Linked DNA regions of Stegostoma tigrinum. The protein of the gene in region 3 binds, or shares a complex with, the protein of the main gene of each other region. Links are inferred from orthologs where the notes say so. Each region holds a gene or a part of one and is shown on either strand. Other genes may lie near its edges.

What was found.
Region 1: wash1 (region 3) and washc4 share a complex: the UniProt entries of both Homo sapiens proteins name them as parts of the WASH core complex. The link is inferred for Stegostoma tigrinum from reciprocal best matches to the Homo sapiens genes WASHC1 and WASHC4.
Region 2: wash1 (region 3) and washc3 share a complex: the UniProt entries of both Homo sapiens proteins name them as parts of the WASH core complex. The link is inferred for Stegostoma tigrinum from reciprocal best matches to the Homo sapiens genes WASHC1 and WASHC3.

What each region holds. Positions count from the first base shown.
Region 1 is NC_081378.1:53,491,290-53,498,821, reverse strand, and holds the start of washc4 (WASH complex subunit 4), read left to right. Parts: upstream 1-4,153; 5' UTR 4,154-4,180; coding exon 4,181-4,241; intron 4,242-7,532. UniProt on the Homo sapiens protein: Acts as a component of the WASH core complex that functions as a nucleation-promoting factor (NPF) at the surface of endosomes, where it recruits and activates the Arp2/3 complex to induce actin polymerization, playing a key role in the fission of tubules that serve as transport intermediates during endosome sorting.
Region 2 is NC_081371.1:60,014,914-60,023,449, forward strand, and holds the start of washc3 (WASH complex subunit 3), read right to left. Parts: upstream 3,555-8,536; 5' UTR 3,511-3,554; coding exon 3,460-3,510; intron 1-3,459. UniProt on the Homo sapiens protein: Acts as a component of the WASH core complex that functions as a nucleation-promoting factor (NPF) at the surface of endosomes, where it recruits and activates the Arp2/3 complex to induce actin polymerization, playing a key role in the fission of tubules that serve as transport intermediates during endosome sorting.
Region 3 is NC_081371.1:25,519,234-25,527,758, forward strand, and holds the start of wash1 (WASH complex subunit 1), read right to left. Parts: upstream 3,201-8,525; 5' UTR 2,969-3,200; intron 2,963-2,968; exon of another isoform or gene 2,782-2,962; intron 1-2,781. UniProt on the Homo sapiens protein: Acts as a component of the WASH core complex that functions as a nucleation-promoting factor (NPF) at the surface of endosomes, where it recruits and activates the Arp2/3 complex to induce actin polymerization, playing a key role in the fission of tubules that serve as transport intermediates during endosome sorting.

The DNA.
Region 1 (7,532 bases), on a different chromosome or scaffold from region 3:
TAGATTCATAGTCACACAGCTCAACATGTCCATGATGCCCAGATTTCCTAAACTAAACTAATTCCATGTGCCCCCACATATCCCATATACCTCTAAATCTTTCCTATTCATGTCACTGTCCAAATGTCTTTAAAATACTATAATTGTACTTGCCTCTACCACTTCCTCTGGCAGCTTCTTCCATATACACACCACTCTCCATGTGAAAAGGTTGCCTCTCGATCGGTTTTAAATCTTTCTTACCTTAAACCTACGCCCTCTGGTTTTGAACTCCCCCAGTCTGGGGGAAAAACAACCTTTGTTATTCATCTTGTCTATGCCCCTCATGATTTTATAAACTTCTATAAGATAATGGCTCAGCCTTCAATGCTCCACGAAAAAGTGCCAGCTTATCCAACCTTTCCTTATAACTCAAACCTTGCAGTTTCAGTAACATTTTCAGAAATCTTCTTCACACTCTTTCCATTTTTATGACATCCTTTCTATAGCAAGGTGATCAAAATTGTATGCAGTACTCAAAGTGTGGCCACATTAATGCCTTGTACAACTGTAGTATGACATCCCAATTCTTGCACTCAATGCTCTGACCAATGAAGGCAAGCGTGCCAAATGCCTTCTTCACACCCTGTCTACCTGTGATGCCATTTTCAAGGAACTATGTCTCTGCACCCCAAGGTCTCCCTGTTTAACAACACTGCCCAGAGCCTTTCTATTAACTGTGTAGGTCCTGCCTGGTTTGTCTTACCAGAATATAACATCTCACATTTATCTAAATTAAACTCCATCTGCCATTCTTTGGCCCACTGGCTGAGTTAAGCAAGATCCCATTGTTCTGTTTGATCATCTTCTTCACTGTCCACTATACCACCAATTTTGGCATTATCTGCAAAGTTACTAACTATGCCTCCTACATTCTCATCCAAAATGTGTATATAAATGATGAACAACAGTGCACCCAGCGCTGCTCTTTGCGGCACACCAGTGTTCACAGGCCTCCAGTCTGAACAACAGCCCTCTGCCACCAACCTCTACCTCTTTCTGTTGAGCCAGTTTTGTATCCAATTGGTTAACTCTCGCCTGAATCTTTTGTGATATAACCTTCTTAACCAGTCTATGATGTGAAACCAGGTCAAAGGTCTTGCTAAGGTCCACATAAACCACATCTACCACTCTGCCTTCATCTATCTTCTTGGTCACCTCTTCAAAAAACCCAATCAAGGCCCTGAGGCTTGGTCACCTGGCCTGATAGTATTGGTTGAGTGGGGAATATGCTGGGCCAGGAGGTTGCAGATTATGCTGAAGTACAATTTCTGTTGCTGTCGATGGCTCACAGCACCTCTTCAATTGCCCAGTTTTGAACTGATAAATCTGTTCAAAGTCTGTCTCATTTAGCACAATGATAGTGCGACACAACACGAAGGAGATTTTTCTCATTGTGAAGTAAGGACTTTGTCTCCACAATGAATGTTCAGTGGACACTCTTACTAATACTGCTATGGACAAATGCATCTGCAGCGAGTAGATTGGTAAGGATGAGTTTAAATATATTTTTGTTTGTTTATTTAAGGGGTGAGAGCATTGCTGGCCAGGCCATCATTTATTGGCCATCCCAGAGGGCAGCCATATTGCTGTCTGTCTAGAGTCACGTGTAGACCAGAGCAGGTAAGGATTGCAGTTTCCTTCCCTAAAACATAGTTTTTTTTCCAACAATCAGCAAGGATTCATAAATTCATTAGATGCTTAATTCCAGATTGGCCAGGGCAGAATTCAAAACCTGAGTCCCCAGAGCATTACTTGGGTCTCTGGATTAACAGTCCAGCTATAATACCACTAGGCTGTTGCCTCCCTAATTTTACAGTAAGTTTTTTGCTCTTTTTGGTTCTCTCACCACTTTCTGCAGACCCAGTATAACAGCTGTATCCTTTAGAACCCAAGCAGCATTGTGGACTCTATCTGCAGCACATGGACTGCAGCAGTACGAGAAGACGTCATCTTTTCAAGAGCAACTAGGAAGGGCAATAAATGCTCATAAGCCAGTGATGCCCCCATCCCACAAATGAATAAAAAACAAGCTTAACCAGAGTGCAGGTGCCAAGCCACCCTTGGGGGTGTACGTTGAAATCACCCATATTTTGCGCCCATGCTAGCCTCAGTGCTTCCTCCAAGTGTTGTTCAACAATGAGGAGTACTGATTCATCAGCTGAGGGAGGACAGTACCTGGTAACCAACAGGAGGTTTCCTTGCTAATGTTTAACCTGAAGCCAAGAGATTTCATGGGGTCTGCAGTCAATGTTGAGGGGACCCAGAAAAACTCCTTCCCTATTGCATGCCACTGTGCCACCACCTGTCCTACCAGTGGGACAGGACACGTCCAAAGATGGTGATGGGATTGTTCTAAGAAGACAGTGACGTCTTCTAAGGGTCACTGGATGTGAAACATTAACTCTGCTCTCTCTCCACAGATGATGCCAGGCCTACGGAGTGTTTCTAGCATTTTCTGTTTTTATTTTGTTCATGATGTTGATGTCCAGGATATTGTCTTATGATATATGATTCAATGAGTATGATTAGGTCAGGCTGCTGCTTGACTAGGCTGTGAGACAACACTCCCAATTTTGGCATTAGGCTAAAATGTTAGTAAGGAGAACTTTGCCGGGTTTACAGGGCTGTTTCTGTTGTTGTCTATTCCAGTGCCTCAGTCAATGCCATGTGGTCCAGCCAGTTTCATTTCTTTGTTGAGACTTTGCAGTGACTGATACAACAGAGTGGCTTGCTCGGCCATTTCAGAGAGCAGTTGAGAGTGAACCACATTGCTGTGGTTCTGGGGTCACATGTCGGTGACACCAGGTGAGAATGGCAGATTTCCTTCCCTGACGGACATTAGTGAGCCAAATAGTTTTTTCTGACAATCGACAATGGCTTCATGGTCATCAGTAGATTCTTCATTGCAGGATAATTTTCAGATTTCAAAATGCTGTACGTGCTTATAGTTCACCAATCATATTCACTAGTATTCGCAAATGGTGGAATAAGCTTAGAGTCAGCACAGGCATCATGGCCCAAAGGGTCTTTAACTACGTTTAAAGCATGATTGAACATTGCATTTATATAGTACCTCTCAGAAATACTGGACATCTCAAACAGCAAATGAAGCAGTTTTATAATCAGGTTTTTAATTCCTAACCGAATCCGGCCTCCTGCCCCAACACATTCACACAGAGATAAAAGCAGAAAGTGCTAAAAAGAAATTGAGCAGATCCTAAAGTATCTGTGGAGGGAGAAACACAGTTCAGGTTTCAAGTTAGTTTTGATTTAAGTTCACAGGCCAGAAAATTAATTGGGGAAACCAAGCGGAGGCTTGGGGACCGCTTTGCAGAACACCTCCGCTCAGTTCGCAACAAACAACTGCACCTCCCAGTCGCAAACCATTTCCACTCCCCCTCCCATTCTCTTGATGACATGTCCATCATGGGCCTCCTGCACTGCCACAATGATGCCACCCGAAGGTTGCAGGAACAGCAACTCATATTCCGCCTGGGAACCCTGCAGCCATATGGTATCAATGTGGACTTCACCAGTTTCAAAATCTCCCCTTCCCCCACTGCATCCCTAAACCAGCCCAGTTCATCCCCTCCCCCCACTGCACCACACAACCAGCCCAGCTCTCCCCCCCCACCCACTGCATCCCAAAACCAGTCCAACCTGTCTCTGCCTCCCTAACCGGTTCTTCCTCTCACCCATCCCTTCCTCCCACCCCCAGCTACCTACTAACCTCATCCCACCTCCTTGACCTGTCCGTCTTCCCTGGACTGACCTATCCCCTCCCTACCTCCCCACCTACACCCTCTCCACCTATCTTCTTTGCTCTCCATCTTCGGTCCGCCTCCCCCTCTCTCCCTATTTATTCCAGTTCCCTCCCCCCATCCCCCTCTCTGATGAAGGGTCTAGGCCCGAAACGTCAGCTTTTGTGCTCCTGAGATGCTGCTTGGCCTGCTGTGTTCATCCAGCCTCACATTTTATTATCTTGGAATCTCCAGCATCTGCAGTTCCCATTATCTCAGAAAATTAAGCCTGTTACCTTTCACCTGAAAACTACATCTCCCAGAGGGCATTGGGGCTGAGCGCTGGCGCAGTGCGTGCAGTTGCGGGACTTGCCTGGGTCTGGTCACGGGATGTAAAGATGGCGTTGGATGTTCAGGCCCGGGACTGGGAGTTTGACCGCTTCGATGAAGGATCCCAGAGTGAGTTTCGAGCTGTGCTTCAGGCCCGGGCTTTGCTATGGGGAAAGAAAAGCCTTCTTTCCCAGAGAAATACTCTCTTCTAATTTCCATTTCTCATCTATCCCCGCCCCCCGGCCAATCTGCCCCCTCCCACCATAGAAGGGACTCTTCTTCTTTCCACTATTCTCTTCCCCCCAAGCCTTGGGCTGTCAGTTTCCCCTAAATCATCAGCATCTAATGATCTTAACCATTGATCCGATTCGGTACAGTGAACATTGTTTGCAGCAGTTCCTAACGCTGGAATGTAATCTGTGGTCTACTGTGTCTCAGTGCAGTCTGTTAAGTGGTTAGACAAGCGGGAGTCTGGAAGAACACAGCAGGCCAGGCAGCATTTGGAGGAAAGGAACAGTCAACGTTTCGGATATTGCCCTTCCTCGGTCTGTTAATTGATGGGTGCATCATAATAGAGATCATTTGGTATAATGAGTTCTTCATAGCTCTCTTAGAGCAAACCTGTCAGTTCTATTTTCTTGTTTTATCCTTGTAACCCCACAAATCTATTTCCCTTTAACAGAGTTTCCATTTGTCTTTTGAAATCATTAACTGTATCAGTTTCCAATACCCTCATTAGTAGAGTTTCTTGCCCTTTGAATCTCCTATGCAAAATCTTCAATCTGTGCACTGTTGTCCTTGTGCAATCAAATAATGGAAATACCTGAGTTTTATCTAAACCTGGCATTCTACATCTGTTAGACATCCCATGATCTCTTTTGCTTCAACGAGGCAAACCACCAGATTCTCCAGCTAGGATTAAAGATCCAGTGATTGATTCTGTTAAATCTTTACTGCACCCTTCTGTGGGCCCTCATGTTCTTCTGCAGGCACTGTGACCAAAATTAGATGTAGTGCTCCAGTTTAGGTCTTTTGAGTTCAAAATAATGTTTGGAACCTTTTTATTATAATAAATATGAACACTGCATGTCAGAGGTATTTGGCATAAGCAGTAGTATGTATGTTTGGTAGAAATATAAGTAACATGACAAAATGGTGTTTACTTAGTTGTTACCATCTGTTCCTATTGACATCTTCTTTGGACTTGTTGGTTGGCGTTTGCTATATTCTTCTTGCCCTGTGTGTCTGTTGACTATTATCTTCTCTTAATTGTGTTGAGGATCAGGACACTTCTTGTACCCTTTTATGTCTAGCCTGGTGCTACATTAAGTTTCTGATGATTTTACCATTGACTTCACCAACCTGATTACTTTATGATAATTTCATTATTACCCATTAGTATCTCCAAGGTTTTGGAGTAGATTTGCAGCTCGGGTTGTGGGTGTTGCGGTTGGTTGGCTCGCTGAGCTGGTTTGTTGCTCCGTAGACGTTTCATTACCCTACTGGGTAACATCGTCAGTGCAACCTCCGATGAAGTGTTGGTGTGTTTTCCCGCCTGGTTTTTAAACTCTGGAGTCCATTGAGCTGGATTGCCTTACTTCAGGTTTTCCTTTGTAGTGGAGTATATATGGGGTCAAGTTCTGTGTGTTAATTGATGGCTTTCTTCGTGGAGTACCAGGCTTCTAGGAATTCCCACACCTGTCTCTGCTTAGTTTGTCCCAGGATTTTGATGTTCTTCCAGTTGAAAGTGGATTGAGATGAGTGAGTATTTGTCATGTCTTTTAGTAGCCACTTGGTGTTCGTATACTCTTGTTGTTAGTTTCCTTCCTGTTTGTCCAATATAGTGTTTCTCACAGTCTCTGCAGGGGATCTTCTAGATGACATTGGTCCTGTCCATGACCATGGATGATATTACCCAGCAGGGTAACGAAACATCTGAGGAACAACTAACCAGCTCAGCGATACAACCAACCTCAATACCCATTAGTATTTCATTAAGTTACATGTTGCTTGCACACTGCCATTTGTTTATTGCGTAGGAGATTTTTTTTAACGTAGTCAACACAACGTAGTAGTTCTTATCTTTGATGTCTTGTTATGGAGATCGACAAACAAAAATATTTCTCTAAATGTGAGTTTGCTCGCTGAGCTGGAAGGTTAGTTTTCAGACGTTTCATCACCAAACATCATCAGTGAGCCTCCGACGAAGCGCTGGTGTTATGTCCCGCTTTCTATTTACATAACACCAGCGCTTCGTCGGAGGCTCACTGGTGATGTTTGGTGATGAAACGTCTGAAAACTAACCTTCCAGCTCAGCGAGCAAACTCACATCCAGAACCTCAACCTGAGCTACAAATCTTCTCAAAACTTGATATTTCTCTCAGCTTGCAATTAGCCAAACCCTGATCTGAGCTTTTACAACAGTTTGACATCCACCTTCCACTTGTTTCTCAGCATTTTCAGAATTCATATTTCCACACTAGCATATAGCCCAGCGGTTTATAAAGATTTATAAGGATTTACTACAAGTTCCCTGCTTTTGTACCCAATTTGTCTACTTCCTAAAGCTCATGATGTATACTTTCCTAATTGCTGTTTGTACTGTCATCTTCAAGGATCTATGCAGATGAGTTGCCAGTTCCCTCTGTTTCTGCATGCCCTTAATAACTGTGGCATTAATACTGTATTATATCTATATATCAAACAAAAATTGGCTGTAGTACTGACTTTCCAGTCTATAAACAACTTAACCATAGCACCCGTTTTTTTAATCTACCCTGACACTGATCCTCATTTTATGAACCTCAGTTTTATTACCCAGCCTGTTTAACGTAGTATGATGTCAAACTTTTCTAAACATCACTTTGGCAATGTTCTTTGCTTTCCCTTCATCCTGTCTCATGACTTCAGGGTAAGAAGGCCTATTAGTCAACTACATCCTGCCTTTTAAAATCCAAGTGGGTTCTTCTAAATTAATTTGCACCTCTTCAAGTCCCCATTCTAATTGCTTTCATTTTTTCTAAATTTTACCTACCTCTAATATTAAACTGACCAGCTTTTAGTTACTAGGAATGTCCTTGCAGTATTTCTTGAATGATGTTGTCATACTTGCCCCTCTCCAAAATGCAGAATTTTGCCTGTTATTTCCAACTCTACCTTCAAGGAATTGAGTTAAATAAAGTCCAAGCATTCAGCCAAAGATAACATGGAAAATTGATGAGTGAATCCCACTTATTGCTTTTCGCTTAATGTTGACAAGCTGATGATGAAAAGCTATCTGCCCAGTCTCAGCTGGGAAATTTGTAGTCTGAGAATTTGTAAATGCTAAAACCAAGAATTCCCTGAGGAGTGAAGATATTGAGAGTTCTGCTGATTTTGACTGTGTTCACTTTGGTCTAATTTGGAATGGGTTAGTGAGGC
Region 2 (8,536 bases), about 34 Mb from region 3:
TCGCAACCCAGGGACTGCCTGTATCAAATAAATACCCACACCAAAAAATCAAAAATTGAGGAATATGAGCTTGAAAAATAATGAATGGTGTTCCAACTCCAAATGATATTCTTAATGGACAAGTAAGATTCCAGACTGAAATCTGGCTTGCTAGATCACGTTTGATCTGTTATGGTTTTAATGAATTGGCCCGTCACTAAAACGTATGTTTCAAATGCCGCAGATTTTACTTTAACAATATACAATAAGTTTATTAACAAAAAAATAGAATGAATTAAACTATCTACTTGCAATGCAAAAGCAAAGTTTCAAATACACAGTCAAAGTATAATCCCAAAGGACTCCTTTATAAATCCAAAGGAAAATACATCCCTGGTACAGTACATAAAAGACTACTCCTACAATACTCACACCAGACTCGCTGTATCTAATATCTCATAAGGTTTAAGTCATTTGTAACTTCATTTTACAGATTGGAACTGGCCCATCAAGTCCACTCTGCCATTTAATCATGGCTGATGGGCATTTCAACTCCACTTCCCTGCACTCTCCCCGTAGCCCTTGATTCCTTGCGAGATCAAGAATTTATCGATCTCTGCCTAGAAGACATTTAATGTCCCGGCCTCCACTGCGCTCCGTGGCAATGAATTCCACAGGCCCACCACTCTCTGGCTGAGGAAATGTCTTATGGTCTTATAACTTCTTCCTGGAGATATTATACGCCTGATGATCAGAGGATTCGATAGGGTGGACAGTGAGAGCCTTTTTTCTCAGATGGTGATGGCTAGCATGAGGGGACATAGCTTTAAATTGAGAGGAGATAGATATACAACAGGTGTCAGAGGTAGGTTCTTTACTCAGACAGTAGTAAGGGCAATGGAATGCCCTGCCTGAAGCAGTAGCAGACTCGCCAAGTTTAAGGGCATTTAAATGGTCATTGGATAAACGTACGGATGATAATGGAATCGTGTAGGTTAGATGGGCTTCTGATTGGTTTGACAGGTTGGCGCAACATCGAGGGCCTGTAATGTTCTATGTTCTATGATTTATACATATTCAGCTTTTAGAAATCCCTTCAGGGTTTTATCTAACACTTCTGGTCTGGGACTGACACTGACTCTTCACTCTGAGATAAGCTAGTTCATGATAACTTTCCCTTCTCAAAATCACTGGACCTAACCACCATCCTTATTGAACACTTTCACAGGGCTTCCTCACTCATAGTCAAACCGAATCTAAAAGTTCCAGTAGTCACAAACAAAACTCGAAGATCCATTATTTATCTTGCTAATCATAAAACAATCTAAGATAAACACAAATCCATTAGCTGTGCTCAAAAACCCATTCACTCTAAAGTTAGACCTCAAAAACAATTTTAAAAGAAACCACAATTTCTGAGCCAAAGACTAGATATTAAATACAAACCAAAAGAACTGCGGATGGTGTAAATCAGGAACAAAAACAGAAGTTGCTGGTAAAGTTCAGCAGGTCTGGCAGTATCTGTGAAAAGAATCGGAGTTAATGTTTCAGGACCAGTTCTAATAAAGGGTCACCAGACCCAAAACATTAACTCTGATTTTTTCTTCACATAAGTTGCCTGAGCTGCTGAGCTTTTCCCCCATCTTCTGCTTTTGTTGTGGACTAGACATTAAAGTTGCAGACTGAGTTTGGGGCTGCAGTTGGGGATCCATATCAAAGTTTCGGGATCAAAACTAAGGATTAAGTATTAAGATACATAGAATGTAGGAGCAGGAATTGACCATTTGATCTCTCAAGCTTGCTCTGCCAATCATTATGATCATGGTTAACATCCCTTAACCCTTTTAGCCACAAGAGCTTTACCTACCTCTTTCTTGAAAACAGTGTTTTCCACTTGCTGTGCTAGCAAATTCCACGGGCTCACCACTCTCTGGGTGAAATTTGTCCTAACCTACTAAAAGGTTTATCTTGTATCCTTAAGATATGGCCCTTGGTTCTGGACTCCAACAACAGAAACATCCTTCTAGCATTTAATCATCCAGTCCTGTTGAATTTTACAGATTTCAATGAGATCTACCCCCTCATTTTTCTGAATTCCAATGAATACAATCCTAACTGACTCAACCTCTCCTAATATATCTTCCTGCCATCCTAGGAATCAATTCAGTGAGCCTTGACTGCACTATATCTAGAACAACTGCATTGTCCCTCAGATATTGAGGCCACAACTACACACAATATTCCAGATGCTGCCCTACCAAGGCCCTGTATAACTAGAGTGAGACATTCCTGCTCCTGTACTCAAATCCTCTCGCTTTGAGGCCAACAGGGTCATTTGTCTTCTTTACCTTCTGCTGCACCTGTGTGCTTGCTTTCAGCTCCTGGCGAACAAGGTCACCCAGGGCTTGTTGATCATTCTCCTCTCTCAATTTAGTCATTCTTGTAATAATCTGCCTTCCTATTTTTCCTACTAAAGCATATAACTTCACATTTATCCACATGACATGATCTGCCATGCATTTACCAACTCACAGCCTGACCAAATCACATTCTGACATCTTCCTCACAGTTCACCCTTCCTCTTTGTGTCATCTGCAAAGTTTGAGATATTACATTTAATTCCCTCATCTAAATCATTAACATTTAATGTGAATTGCGAGGGTCCAAGTACCAATCCCTGCCAATATCCCACCATTTATTTCCACCCTTTGTTTCCTGTCTGCTAACCAATTTTCAATACACTACTCTCAGATTGATGTGTTTTAGCTTCACACATTAATTTCTTATATTGGACTTTGCGGAAAGGCTCTGAAAATCCAAATAATCCACATCCCAGCTCCCCTGATCAACTCTACTAGTCACATCCGTTGAAGAATTCCCGTACATTTGTCAAACATGATTTCCCTTTTGTAAATTCATGCTGACAGGTATTTAGAAGTTATAATTACATGCTGACATTAGGATTTACAGGTTATGGTTAGTGGGTAAGGATTAGAACATAGAACATAGAACAGTACAGCACAGAACAGAATTAGGTGTTAAAGCTGCGGTTTAGGGGTTTACGTTGAAATTAAGGGGTTATGGTGGGGATAAAGGGGTTAAATTGGATGTAAGGGGGTTAGGATTATTGTTAAGGGGTTATGGTTGGGGTTAGGGTTGGGATCAAGAGGTTAAACTGAGTTTAAGGGGTTTTGGCTGGGAATTAAAGGGTTAAATTGAGTTTAAGTGGTTATGGCTGGGATTAAAGGTTTAAATTGAGTTTAAGGGGTTACGGCTGGGAATTAAAGGGTTAAATTGAGTTTAAGGGGTTATAGGTCAGGTAGGGGAAGGACTCAGGCTGCGGTTAGAGGTTAAGACTAGGGTTTATGGGTGGAAGTCGAAGGTTAGGATAAGATTTAAGGGTTACAGGCTCTCAGTTAACTTTTAAACTATCGCTGATGAAAGCACAGCTCCAGGGATCCCCTGTCTTTCCCCCCTCACCCGGGTCAGGTCGATCCCTGATCCCACCAACGGGAGTCCGTCCGCGTCCATTCCGCCCGGAAACAGCTCCTGACCCCCTGACCCGGAAGGGAAGCTTCGACGGGCAGGGGCGGGAGCACGCGCGTGACCGCAATCACCCGGGGCCGCCAGGGCCGAGTGTGTCACCGTCACCGGGCCCCAGGCCTCGGGCCTAGTGTCCCACCGGAGAAACCCCCATTTCATCACCAGGAGGAAGAGAGCACCCGGTGACGTTCAGATTGACAACAGTCTTCAAAGGTGCTGGAGAAACTCAGCAGGTCTGGCAGCGCCTGTGGGAGAGGGACACACACACTGAGACCTCCCTTCAGACCTGGGGGGAAAACTAGGACCCAAAGGCCTTCCAGGGAAGGCAGGAGGTGGGCAAAGAAACGACAACATCGCCAGACCTGCTGCGTATTTCCAGTAACTTCGTTTTAGTTCAGAAAGGTCCTTGTTTCTGATTGTAGTACCTCAGTTAATCCACCATCTCCTGTTCATTTCTATATATTTCCCACAGCGTTTCCTCAGTTCCCCCGATTCCTCCTCGTAGCACAGGCGCCAACCCGTGATTGTCAATCTGACCAGTTAAAGATGCAGACTCTTTGAACATAAACGGTGGCTATTTGCCGTCTAAGCTTTTATTTAAAAAAAATTGTGCCGAGGGATGTGTTTGTCACTTTGACATGGCGGAGAGGTTTCTGCACTCCGATTCTTTGACCGATGCCGTCGGGACGTGGCATCAAGGCTGGGGACGGAGGCGTCAAAGTGCGGTCCAAACAGTCCTCTATGGCAGATAATAAAGTGTGGAGCTGGATGAAGGGTCTAGGCCCGAAACGTCAGCTTTTGTGCTCCTGAGATGCTGCTTGTCCTGCTGTGTTTTTCCAGCCTCACACTTTGTTATCTTGGATTCTCCAGCATCTGCAGTTCCCATTATCTCTGATACAATCGTCCTCTATGGCAGAACAGGCGAAGAAAAATCACACGAATTGTAATGGTGGAAAAAGCTGCAGATGCGAGACAGTGCTGGTGTTAGCAGTTCAACACATCACTGAACTCTGACAACAAACGGCTCGGTGGTTTGCACTACAGCCTCACAGCGCCAGGGACCCGGGTTCGATTCCAGCCTCTGTGCGGTTTCCTCCCACAGTCCAAAGATGCGCAGGCTTAGGTGGATTGGCCATGCTAAATTGCCTGTAGTGTTCACGGATGTGTGGGTTCCAAGGGGTGGTGTGAACTTGTTAGGCTGAAGGGCCTGTTTCCACACTGGAGGGAATCTAATCTTTTAAAAAACACCAGTCAAAATCACATGGACAATGGTAACACCCCAAGATCCCTATACTAACATAGCAAAAATGTTTTTTGCTAACCATAATCTGGTTTCCAAGCCTTGTGGCAATGGAAATTCGGCAACAGGTTCAGGGCTGTGAACACGAAAAATAATCTGCTGTCATGAGATGGAGGTCACTGGGCACCTATGTTGGTGTCATTGACAACAGTATCTGTGACTGAACAATTCCCTTCAGAATACCTTCTGTTCACCCTAAAAGGGAAGGGGAGCTAGAAAAGACACCCTAAAATTAGGCTGACCCACTATCTCCTGGCAGGGGAACCATAATCCCGTGGGATTACCATCTTGGTGGTCAAAGAGAGAAAACTTTAAATTGCATAACTTGGTATGTTGGAACATGAGAGGTAATCTTAAGAGTTACCATCCGGGAGGAAGTGTGTACTTATATCATGTGAACTATCAAGTTTCAATATTATCATGAGGTAGTAGGAACTGCCGATGCTGGAGAATCAGAGATGACAAGGTGTAGAGCTGGGTGAACACTGCAGGAAAGCTGACGTTTTGGGTCAAGACCCTTCTTCAGAAATCTGGGTCTCAACCCGAAACATCAGCTTTCCTGCTCCTCTGATGCTGCTTGGCCCGCTGTGTTCATCCAGCTCTACACCTTGTTATCTTTATATTATCATCCCTGCCCTCAATGACATCTGCTGTCCTGGGAAGGGGCATGTGTGGGGAAAGACACCTACTGGAAAGACAAAAGTAACAAGTGACCCTTGTGTCCACAGAGTTGATTTGCCAAGTGGAATAGGATCTTGGAGTCATTGCTTGAACTCCCTATTTCAATAAATGAAATGTATTAACATTATTTCACCTTCTCCTAGACTATCAAACCAGCAGAATAAATGTTCTTCTTTCAAATTAAAACAAAATATTGCAGATGCTGGAAATCAGAAACAGACACAGGGAATGCTGGAGAAACTCAACTGGTCTGATAGAGTGGAGAGAGAAACAGTTAATGTTCTGAGTCCAATATGACTTCTTAAGAACAATTCTGCCAGCGTTTTGTGTGCTTGTTAAACAATTTCCTCAAGCTACTCTTATAAACTTTCTAAGAAAAATCCGTCAAATCATCCCTAAATTTTCTATAATCCAGGGAATACAGGTCTAGTTTGTATAATCTGTGCTCTTAACCATGGGAGCCCAGGTAACATTTTGATGAATCTAAAATAACTCCTTCAATATCCTTCCTCATAGTCCCATTAATCATTCCATTGGAGCACTTCCTATTTCCTTTTTTTACTCTGGTGGCAATTCAGTACATACTTTTTTTCTGTACCTCGGCAGAATCTGGATAGATAGGACTTGGCTGTTCTTGTTGTGGAAAGCCCTTGAAGACAGACTGTGATCTTTGTCTTTTTAAATAGCTTCTTGTTTTTCTGACCTACAGTTATACGGTGTATAGTTTTAAAGTAACTTTTTATCTTCATTTCTGTTAAGAATTGTACCAAGGCACTGTGTACCTAAGATGGCACTGTAAGTGGTGATTTGTAAACTTCTCACTGTACTTATCTGAGTACGTGACAATAAAGCTAATTCAATTCAATTCAAATTACTGAAAGCTAACATACTGGTACAAAATTCAGTTAAGACAACAAATGGTATGTCGGCCTTTATCGCAACAGCATTTAACTACAAGGTTTACAATGTCTTTCTACAATTGTATAGAACCTTGGTGAATATTCACATGTGGGATGTGGGCGCCACTGGCTTGACCAGCATTTGTTGCTTTTCCCGAGTAAGACCTTGAGGAGATGGTGCTGAGCTGCCATGGACAGTTGTAGTCCATGTGCTATAGATATGCCCATTATGCTGTTAGGGAGGGAGGTATAGAAATTTGACTCAGCAACACTGAAGAAATGGTGATATATTGCCAAGTTAGGATGGCACATGGCTTGAAAGGAAGCCTGCACATGGTGTTTCCATGTATCTGCTACCCTTGTCCTTCTAGATCAGTGATTACAAACCCTTGCAATAACATGGCACACTCCAATGAGACATGTAAAAATTCCATGGCACACCGACTTTTTTCAGCTGAATTGATTGCTCATAAATGTCACATTTACTTGCATTTACTTTGGTTACAGCCTTACTAGACAGGTTTGCAAGATAATGCATACAACAAATTATCCATTTCATCTTCAACTGTGTTCTAAGACTAGGACTAGTGGCTTAACTAAAACAAATTCGAAGCATATTCACCTCAAAATCTGTGCTAAAATGGAAACATATCTAGGCAGGTAGTCCAGCTCAACAATTACACAAGTGACTGTTTACTATGGACATGCAATTTCTTCTCATCTTGGAGATACAATCCTTAATCATTGCATATGCTCCGACCAGATGTTTGGATCTGCCTGTGCAACCAGGCTTCATAAGAAGTGAATATCCCACCTTCCGCACATGCAAGGTATCAGAAGTCTATGTGAAGGGGTGCTGCTTCCCGAGAATTTCATGGCACATTTCTCACCTTTCCACATTTGGAAAACTTCTGTTCTAGATGGAAGTGGACATGGATTTAGGAGGTGCGGTATAAGGATCTTTGGTGAATTTCCGCAGTAAATTTAGTAGATAGTATACGCTGGTCCTCCTCAGTGTCAGTGTTGGAGGGAGTGGATGTTTGTGGATGTGGTTACACTCAAACTGCTGCTTTGTCCTGGGTGGTGTCAAGCTTCTTCAGTGTTGTTGGCGATGCACTCATCCGGGCAAATGGGGAGTATTTCATCACACTACTGACTTGTACCTTGTAGAAAATGAACAAGCTTTGGGGAGTCAGGAGATGAGTTACTCACTGCAGTATTTCTAGCCTCTGACCACCTTTTATAGCTACTGTATTTATATGCCTAGTCCAGTTGAGTTTCTGGTCAATGGTAACCCCCAGGATGTAGACGGTGGGGGATTTAGTGATCTATTGCCATTGAATATCAAGGGGAATGGTTAGATTATCTCTTATTTGCATTTGGTAGATGCTAGTGTTAGTGCTAGTTGTATGGCAAGTTCTGGAGCACATGTCTTAAGTACTGTTGCTGGAAAGTTGTCAGGGCCCATTGGCTTAGCAGCATTTACTGTCTCTAACCAATACTTGATATCATGAGGAGTAAATTGAATTAGCTGAAGTCTGGTATCTGCAATGCCACAGCTTTGGAGGAGGCTGAGATGGATCATTCATTCAGCACTTCTGGCTGAAGATTGTTGCGACACTTTTATACTGATATGCTGGGTTCTCCCATAATTGACGATGGGGATAATTGTTGAGCCTCCTCCATTGATTTATTTAATTGTCCACCACAATTCATAACTGGATATGGACTGCAGAGCTTCGTTCTAATCCAATACCTGGAGTACTTTGTGCAGTTCTGGCCCCCTTACCTGAGGGAATGTAATGGTGGTTGACCGGACAGATCCCTAGAAAGCCGGAACTCTCCTAGAAGAAGGGAGCAAGGGGCCTGTATTTTCTGGAGTTTAAAAGGATGAGAGATGATCTAATTGAAAATTATAAAATTCTTAATCCATCTGGACTTTAGTAAGGCATTCAACAAGGTTAGATCACACAGAATAGAGGGAGAACTAGCAACTTGGATACAGAACTGGCTAGAAGGCAGAGGAGGGTGGTGATGGAGAGTTGCTTTTCTAGACCAGCAGCGTGCCACAAGGATCAGTGTTGGATCCGATGCTTCTCGTCATTTATGTAAATGATTTGGGTGTGAACATAAG
Region 3 (8,525 bases):
TTCCAAGGTCACCTCTCAGCCTCCAACGCTTCAGGGAAAATAGCTTCGGCCTTTTCAGCCTCTCCCTACAGCTCAAACCCTCCAACACAGGCAACAGCATTTTAAATCTTTTCTGAACCCTTTCAAATGTAACAACATCTTTCCTACAGCAGGGAGACCAGAATTGAATACAGTGTTCCAGAAGAGGCCTAACCAATGTCCTGTACAGCCACATGACCTCCAAACTCCCGTACTCAATGCACTGACCAATAGTGTCGAGTGAACCAACTGCGCTCTTCAGTACCCTGTCTGTCTGCAACTCCACTTTCAAGGGACTACAATCCTGCATCCCAAGGTCTATATGTTTAGCAACATTCCCCAGGACCCTACCATTAAGATGTACAAGTCCTGCCCTGATATGCCTTTCCAAAGCACAGCACCTCACCTTTGTCAAACTTAAAATATATCTGCCACCCTTTAGCTCATTTGATCAAGGTTCTGTTGTACTCTGAGGTAACCTTTACTGTCCACTACAGCAATTTTGGTGTCATCTGAAAATTTACTAACTATACCTCCTAGGTTCACATCCAAATCATTTGTATAAATGACAAAAAGCATTGGGCCCAGCATCAATTCCTGCGGCACACTGCTAGTCACAGGCCTCCAGTCTAAAAAGCAACCATCCACCACCACCCTCTGTCTCCTGCCTTTGAGACAATTTTGTATCCAAATAGCCAGTTCTCACTGTATTCCACATGACCTAACCTTGTTATTAGTCTACCACGCGGAATCTCATTGTTTATATGGACTTCAGTAAGATGGTCAATGTCCACCAGTCTGGCTTCATTCATCCTCTTCAAGCTTCATCAAGTTAGTAAGACACAATTTCCCCACACACAAAGCCATGCTGATTATCTTAAATTAGTCCTTGCTTTTCCAAATACATGTAAATCCTATCCCTCAGAACCCCCTCCAACAACTTGCCCACCACTGTTGTCAGGCTCACTAATGTATAGGTCCCTGGCTTTTCCTTGCTGCCTTTCTTAAACACTAGCGCAACGTTAGCCAACTTCCAGTCTTCTGGCACCACATCCGTGGCTATTAATGGTACAAACATCTCAGCAAGGGGTTCAGCAAATAACTTCCCTAGCTTCCCACAAATTTCTAGGATACACCTGATCTATCCCTAATATTTATCCACCTTTACGCATTTTCAGGCATCCAGGAGCACCTCCTCCGTAATATGGACAGTTTCCACACGTTCTCTAGCTTCCACATCCTTCTCCACAGTAAACATTGATACAAAATAATCAAGGACACACTCAGCCTCTGATCTTCAAAGATACTCAGACAGCATCTTCCAAGACCAGTTCCCATCTAAAAGGGCATAGGCAGAAGATATATGGGAACACCATCACATCCAAGTCACTCACCATCCTGAGTTGGAAATATATCACCGTTCCTTCACTGTCACTCAGTCAAAAACCTGGAATTCCCTCCCTAATAGCATTGCGGGTCAACCCACAGCAGGAGGACTGCAGCAGTTCAAAAAGGCAGCTCACCACCACCTTCTCAAGGGCAACCAGGGACAGGCAAGAAATGCTGGCCAGCCAGCAACATCCACATCCCACAAGAATAAAAAAACTTCAGGTAAATGTCCTCCAAAGCAGCCTTCAATGTACATAACAATGCAGAGTCAGAGTAGAAACCAATATCCAAGTTCCTCAACCATGAGGACAACCTCAATCATGATCTTGGGTTCATGTTGCACTACATGTAATCCTACCATTCTAATCTGTGTATAATCTTCCTTACCATTCTGTTTTGGCACCATCACCTTGATAACTTGTTATGATCTCAACCTTAATTAATTTATACAATTTTGGATTAATTGTTACCCTGGTTAAACCCTTGCAATGCAAGTCTTATATCTATCATGTTATTCCAGTCATTTAGTTTGTCTCCAGCACTATCCTAATTTTGATTTTTTTGTAATTATCAATCAGATCATAGGTCATCCCTTCACTTACACTACTTGTATTTATCTTTTGATACTCTTAATTACCTCCTTATAAATTCTGTGCTTGTGTGCTTCCCTCCACTTTACCTGACAAAGGAGCAACACTCTGAAAGCTTGTGATTTCAAATAAACCTGTTGGACTATAACCCAGTGTCAAGTGACTTCTGGCAAAATTCTTGTTCAGTATCTCACCCATCTGCAGTTCCACACAAAACATTGCTGATCTTTAAGAAGCCCATTTGCTCTCTAGTTACTCTTTTGTCTGTAATGTGTTTGTAGAAATGCTATGCATTCTCCATAACCCTGCTTGCCAAAGCTATGTCCTCTTTTTGCCCTCACGATTTCCCTCAAGTATAATTCTACTGCTTTTACATTCCTCTAGGGACTCACTTAATGCCTGCTGTCTGTACCTGATAAATGCTTCCTTCTTTTTCATAATCAGAATCTCAATTTCTCCAATCAACCAGCATTCCCTACATCAACCAGCCTTGCCCTTCACTCCAACAAGAACCTACTTTCCCTAGACTCCCATTACCTAAATTGTGAAGGCTTCCCATTTACAGCTGTCCTTTTATCTGTGAACGTCTGCGCCCAATCAACTTTTGAAAGTTCTGGCTTAATAACATCACCACTTAGCGACAACTGAAAGTGTTTTCACGATACTTGAGATTGAGGAAATAGACAGCGGATGTGTTGGTCAGAAAGAAGTGCTTAACGTCCATGAACGCCAGGGGTTACTGGTATCCGGTAGATGATTGAAACTGTAAACAGCTCGCTCTCACCCCAGTATCTGTAGATGACTGAAGCTGTGTTCCAGTCTCCGTAGATGATGTAAAACTCATCCCAATCGCTGTCGACGATGAAAGCAGTTTCCATTTAAAGGAACAAACTGTTGCATTTTCCTTGTCAGGAGGCCTGTGCCCACGCATGCGTACTTCACACCCGAGGTTTGCGCATGTGCATACTAACCATTACTTGCTGGACTCTCCCGAATAAAAAAACTAATTAATTAACGCCAACGCCGTCTTCTAATACTCTATCATCACATTTTCATTCTTCACTATTCAAACACAAACATCCTACTTCATAACACAAAGTTTCGAGCTCTAACGACCACAAGCAGGCATCTACGCTTGCGCATTGCTACGACATAGGCGCATGCATATTTTCTCCAGCACGGGCCCAACCAGCTCAGCCCAGCCCAGCAACACACAAATAAACCCCGCCCAACCACGAACAAACCCCACCCACCACCGCAAGCTCCGCCCCCGGATGTTTGTGATTCCTTGTCATCAACATTGAATGAAAATCCTTTGGCTCAGAGGTGGTGACGTTATTACTGCGCCGCAAGACAAAATGGGTCTAGGCCCGAAACATCAGCCTCCCTGATCCACTGATGCTGCTTGGCTTGCTGTGTTTGTGCAGCTCTACATCTTGTTATCCAACAAGACAAAACCTGGTGTGTTTATATCCTGCACACTAATAGCCATAAGACCATAAGACATAGGAGTGGAAGTAAGGCTATTCGGCCTGTCAAGTCCACTCTGCCATTTAAATCATGGCTGCTTCGCATTTCAACTCCACTTCCCTGCAATCTCCCCGTAGCCCTTAATTCCTTGTGAGATCAAGAATTTATCAATCTCCACTTTGAAGACATCCAACGTCCCGGCTTCCACTGCGCTCCGTGGCAATGAATTCCACAGGCCCACCACTCTCTGGCTGAAGAAATGTCTCCTCATTTCCGTTTTAAATTTACCTCCTCTAATTCTGAGGCTGTGCCCACGGATCCTAGTCTCCCTGCCTAACGGAAATGACTTCCCAGCGTCCACCCTTTCTTAGCCATACATTATCTTGTAAAGTACTTCAGTAAAGAAGTAATAGCACTTCATTTAATTTTACGAAGTTAGACCCTGTGTCTCTCTCATGGATGATTATGTGGTTGTCTTTTCAGTTATTCCCTGTGATTGCACACTCGAACTGCAAACTGGGTAGAATAACACTAAAACCAAAAGTCAGAGGAGCAGAAATAGGCCATTCAGTTCATGCAAACTGCTCTGCCATTAAATGACATCTTGGCTGATCCGATAATTCTCAACTCCACTTTCCTGCCTTCTCCCCATAGCCCTTGATTCCCTTACTAATTAAAAATCTGACTGTCTAAGCTTCGAATGTAGTTAATCCTCCAGCCTCAATAGCCAAAGGTAAAGAATTCCACAGATTGATAGAATACCCCTTGAGAGAATAAATTTCTCATCTTCATCCTAACTGGGAGAAGCCATACTTTAAGATTATGTCCTCTGGCCTTGGACTCTTTTAGTAGGGGAAGCAACCTTCTATGCTTGTTTAATCCCTAAAGAATCTTGTATGTTGCAATAAGGTTGCCTATCATTCTTCTAAACTCCAATGAGTACAGGCCAACTCAGCCTCTCCTCAAGACAGGCCCTCTGTAGCCGGCATCTGTTCACTTGACAGCCTCCAATGCAAATATATGCTTTCTTATATAAGGAGCCCAAAAATAGTTACAATATTCCTCAACTGTTGTCTGATGACAGTTGTTTTAGCAAGAGTTCCCTATTTTTATATTCGATTACCTTTGAAATAAAGGCCATCATTCCATTTATCTTCCTGATTACCTACTGAACTTAGATGCTGTATTATTCTGATTTATGCTCTAGAAATCCCAAATTCCTCCGTTCTGTAGCTTCCTGTCTTCTTTCACCATTTCACTAATATTCAGCTCCACTATTCTTTCTTCCAAAGTCATGTTACAAGCTAACTAGCCTATAGTTACCCATTTTTGCCTCATTCTCATTTTAAGTTAAGCTGTTCCAATGGCAGTTTCCCAATCCTCTGGGACTTTTCCAGAATCTAAGGTTTCTTGGAAGATTGCTACCTGTGTGACCACTATTCCTGTAGCTACTTCTTTTAATATCCTAGGATGTCTCCCATCAGGTCCAAGTGACTTGTTGATCTTTAGCCCCATTAGTTTTCTTGCTATTTTTCTTGTCATATTTAGTGTATTTATTTCCTCTCCCCCTTTCCCCCTTGCTAATTTAGTAATTTTGGAATGTTATTCATGCCTTCTGTCATGAAGACTGATGCAAGTACCTATTCAACCCTTCTCATCTGGTTGCCTATTGTTATTTCTTCAGCCTCATTCTCCAAAGGGTCAATGTTAACTTTGGCATGTCCCTTCCTTTTCATATATTTAGAGATGCTCTTGCTGCCCATTTGATATTACAAGCAAGTTTACACTCAAAGTTTATCTTCTCCACCTTTACTTTTTATTCCCAATCCCCTGGCTGATCACTAAGTGGTGCCATGTTGTATGTTTTTCCTTTCAGTTTGATGCTATCCTTAGCTTCCTTGGTTAGGCAAGATTGGGCTTATCTCATTCCTAGAGACTTTCATCCACACTTAGATGTATCTTTGTCATGAACCATGAACTATTTTCTTTAACATCTGCTCTTGTTGCTCACTCGCCTCTTCTGTTTGACTCTTTTCTCAGTTCAATCAAGCCAGCTTGCCCCCATTCTTTTAAATTGCCCTTATTTAAGTTCAGTTCAGTTGTTTTTAACCCAAGTTCCTCCCTCTCAAACTGAATGTTAAATTCTGCCATGATATGGGACCTTTTCCAAGGGGACCTTTTACTTTGACATCATTTATTAAACCTGCCTTTTTGACAATAACCAGACCAAAAAAGCCTGATGCCTGGTTGGATCCACAATACATTGCTCCAGCAAACTGTCCTAAATATGCCATATAAGCTTTTTCTGTGGTTGCGTCTGCCAATCTGACTATCCCAATCGACATGAAGATTAAAGTCACTCATGATTAACATACTGCCTTTTTAACATGCCCTCATTATCTCCTGATTTGTTCTGTGTTCCAATGTATAGCTACTGTCAAGAGGCCTATAGACTACTCCTTCAAATGTCCCATATTATTTGCATTTAAGTAACAGTCATGACCAGAAGGCACCTCAAAGCACTTTATAACTTTGAATGCTTTTTGAAGTGGTCACTATTTACTGCAGGAAATGCAGCAGCCAATATGTGCTCAGGAAGCTGCCACAAACAGCAATATGATACTGACCAGGTAAGCTGTTTTTACTTTAATATTGACTAAGGGATAACTGTTGACTGGGCCCCAAAGATAACTCCATCCTCTTTTAAACAACAGGTTCGTGGACAAGGGCATGCATATCTACCAGAAAACCAACCAGCACCCTCTTTGCATGCTGTATAAATAGTGTATCCTGGTTCAATCAGAGAAAGCAAGAACTGCAACTGCTGGAGTCAGAGAGCACACAGCATGGAGCTGGAGGAACACAGCAGGCCAGGCAGCATTGGAGGGGCAGGAAAAATGATGCTTCAGGTCAAGACCCTTTTACCTGCTGTGTTCACCCAGCTCCGCACTTTGTTATCCCACACTGTCTTGTCTCTGTCCCCTGGCTCAAGTCTTTTTCTGTGTCGTGGTTCTGATGAATGCAAAAAGCTTCATCTTTGTGTATCCTTTCAACAATGTTTAGTGACTTATATAGGTTCAATGTAACAGTGCTGCTCTCATAGTCTACATCCTTATAAATAACACTTGATATACTGTACGCATTGTTCACCAGGCCCTCAGCCTGTCCTGCAAATTCTAATGATTTATTTGTATGTGCACACAGATTCCTGAGCTTCTGCTCCCACTTTACAGTTGTGCCCTGTATTTTATATTGTTTCTCCATTATCTTTATTATTCAAAATGTGTCACATCACACTTCTCCATAGTGAAGGTTAGCTGCCTTCTTTCTGGCCACTCCACCAACTTGCCCATACCCTTTTGAAGTTGCATGCTGTCCTCACAATTTAAACTGCTTGTCTCATGGGTAGATTTTGAAATCGTCCCCATCACACCAAGGTCCAGATTGTTTGTAAATGTTAGGAAATTAAAGCATTCCAACTCTGATGCTTGGGAAACTCCATTACAAGTTATTTCCTAGCCCATCTATTATCTATTAACCATTACTGTACTCTCTGCTTCCTGTCACTCTGCTGATTTGATTCAGGTTGCTAATGTCCATTTTATTCCACGAGTTCTAACTTTGCTCATAAGCTTGTTGTGTGATATCGTATCCTTCTGGAAGTGCGTGTACATCACATGGTCATCCACCCATGCCATTACCTCTTTAAAAAAAAACTCCAATAAGTTGGTTAAAAATAATATTCTTTTCAGAAATCCATGCAGGCTCTCCTCAATCAGTCTGCATTTGTCCTATGTGACTGTTAATTCTGTCCATCATTATTGTTTCCAGGAGCTTCCCAAACTTAGGAGTTAAGCTGGCTAGTTTGTAGCAGCTTGAATTATCCTTATATCTCTTTTTGTACAAAAGTATAGTGTTTGCAATTCTGCAGTCCTCTGCTAACATCTTTAGGTCTGATGAAGACTGAAAAATTAATACTAGTACCTCTGAAATTTCCATTCTTACTTCGGTAAGTATCCACAGAAGCATCTAACCTTGTCCTGTTACCTTTTCAACTGTAAGTACAGGCAGCCTGTCCAATACCACTTCATTATCAAGTTTAAATCCTTCTAGTGACTGAGTTTCCTCCTCTGTCATCATGGCCAGCACAGCATTTTCTACCTTGTTATAGGTAAAGACAGATACAAAATGTTAATTTAATATTACATTTAGATCCTAAGTCAAGCCTTTGCTTCACTGTATAAATCTCCATTTTGGTCTCAAATTGGCCCCATTGCTGAGGTTAACTTTGTGGAGTTTCTTTAGTTAAAGCATATACATTTTGTTCTTCTTTTTGTCACTTTACCAACTTGCCTATTTTTTTATTGCTCAACCATAAGCCATCTTTTCATTCGCTTGATGGTGAAAGGGAAGATGTCGATTGAAGGGGATGCGGGGATGGTGGGGGGTCGGGGTGGTGTGGGTGGGGTAGCATATGCAAGTGGTGGTTCAATTCAGTAGATTTAGGTTTGTGAAATGATTCCTCATTAATGACCTTCTGACAATGGTCCATTATTGTTGGTAGGGTCCTGCCCTGAGGAAAACCAGTCAGAGCTGAAAATTGGAATCCTGATTCATTCCTAATGGTATAATCACGGGAACATTTTACCTAATAACTGGCCCTAATAAACAAAGTGAGACATAAAAAAAGTATCAGAGATAATGGGAACTGCAGATGCTGGAGAATCCAAGATAATAAAGTGTGAAGCTGGATGAACACAGCCCGCCAAGCAGCATCTCAGGAGCACAAAAGCTGACGTTTTGGGCCTAGACCCTTCATCAGAGAGGGTCTAGGCCTGAAACATCAGCTTTTGTGTTCCTGAGATGCTGCTTGGCCTGCTGTGTTCATCCAGCTTCACACTTTATTATCCGAGACATAAAAAAGATGTTTCCAGTGGAGCTCTGGAAAGATCTGGAGGGTCAAATGTAAAAGGTAGTGGTGATCTTGGTATGATCTGGTAGCACAATGATCATTAGGGGAAAAGACCGTCTTCTCAGAGGTTACAAGTGTCGACTATT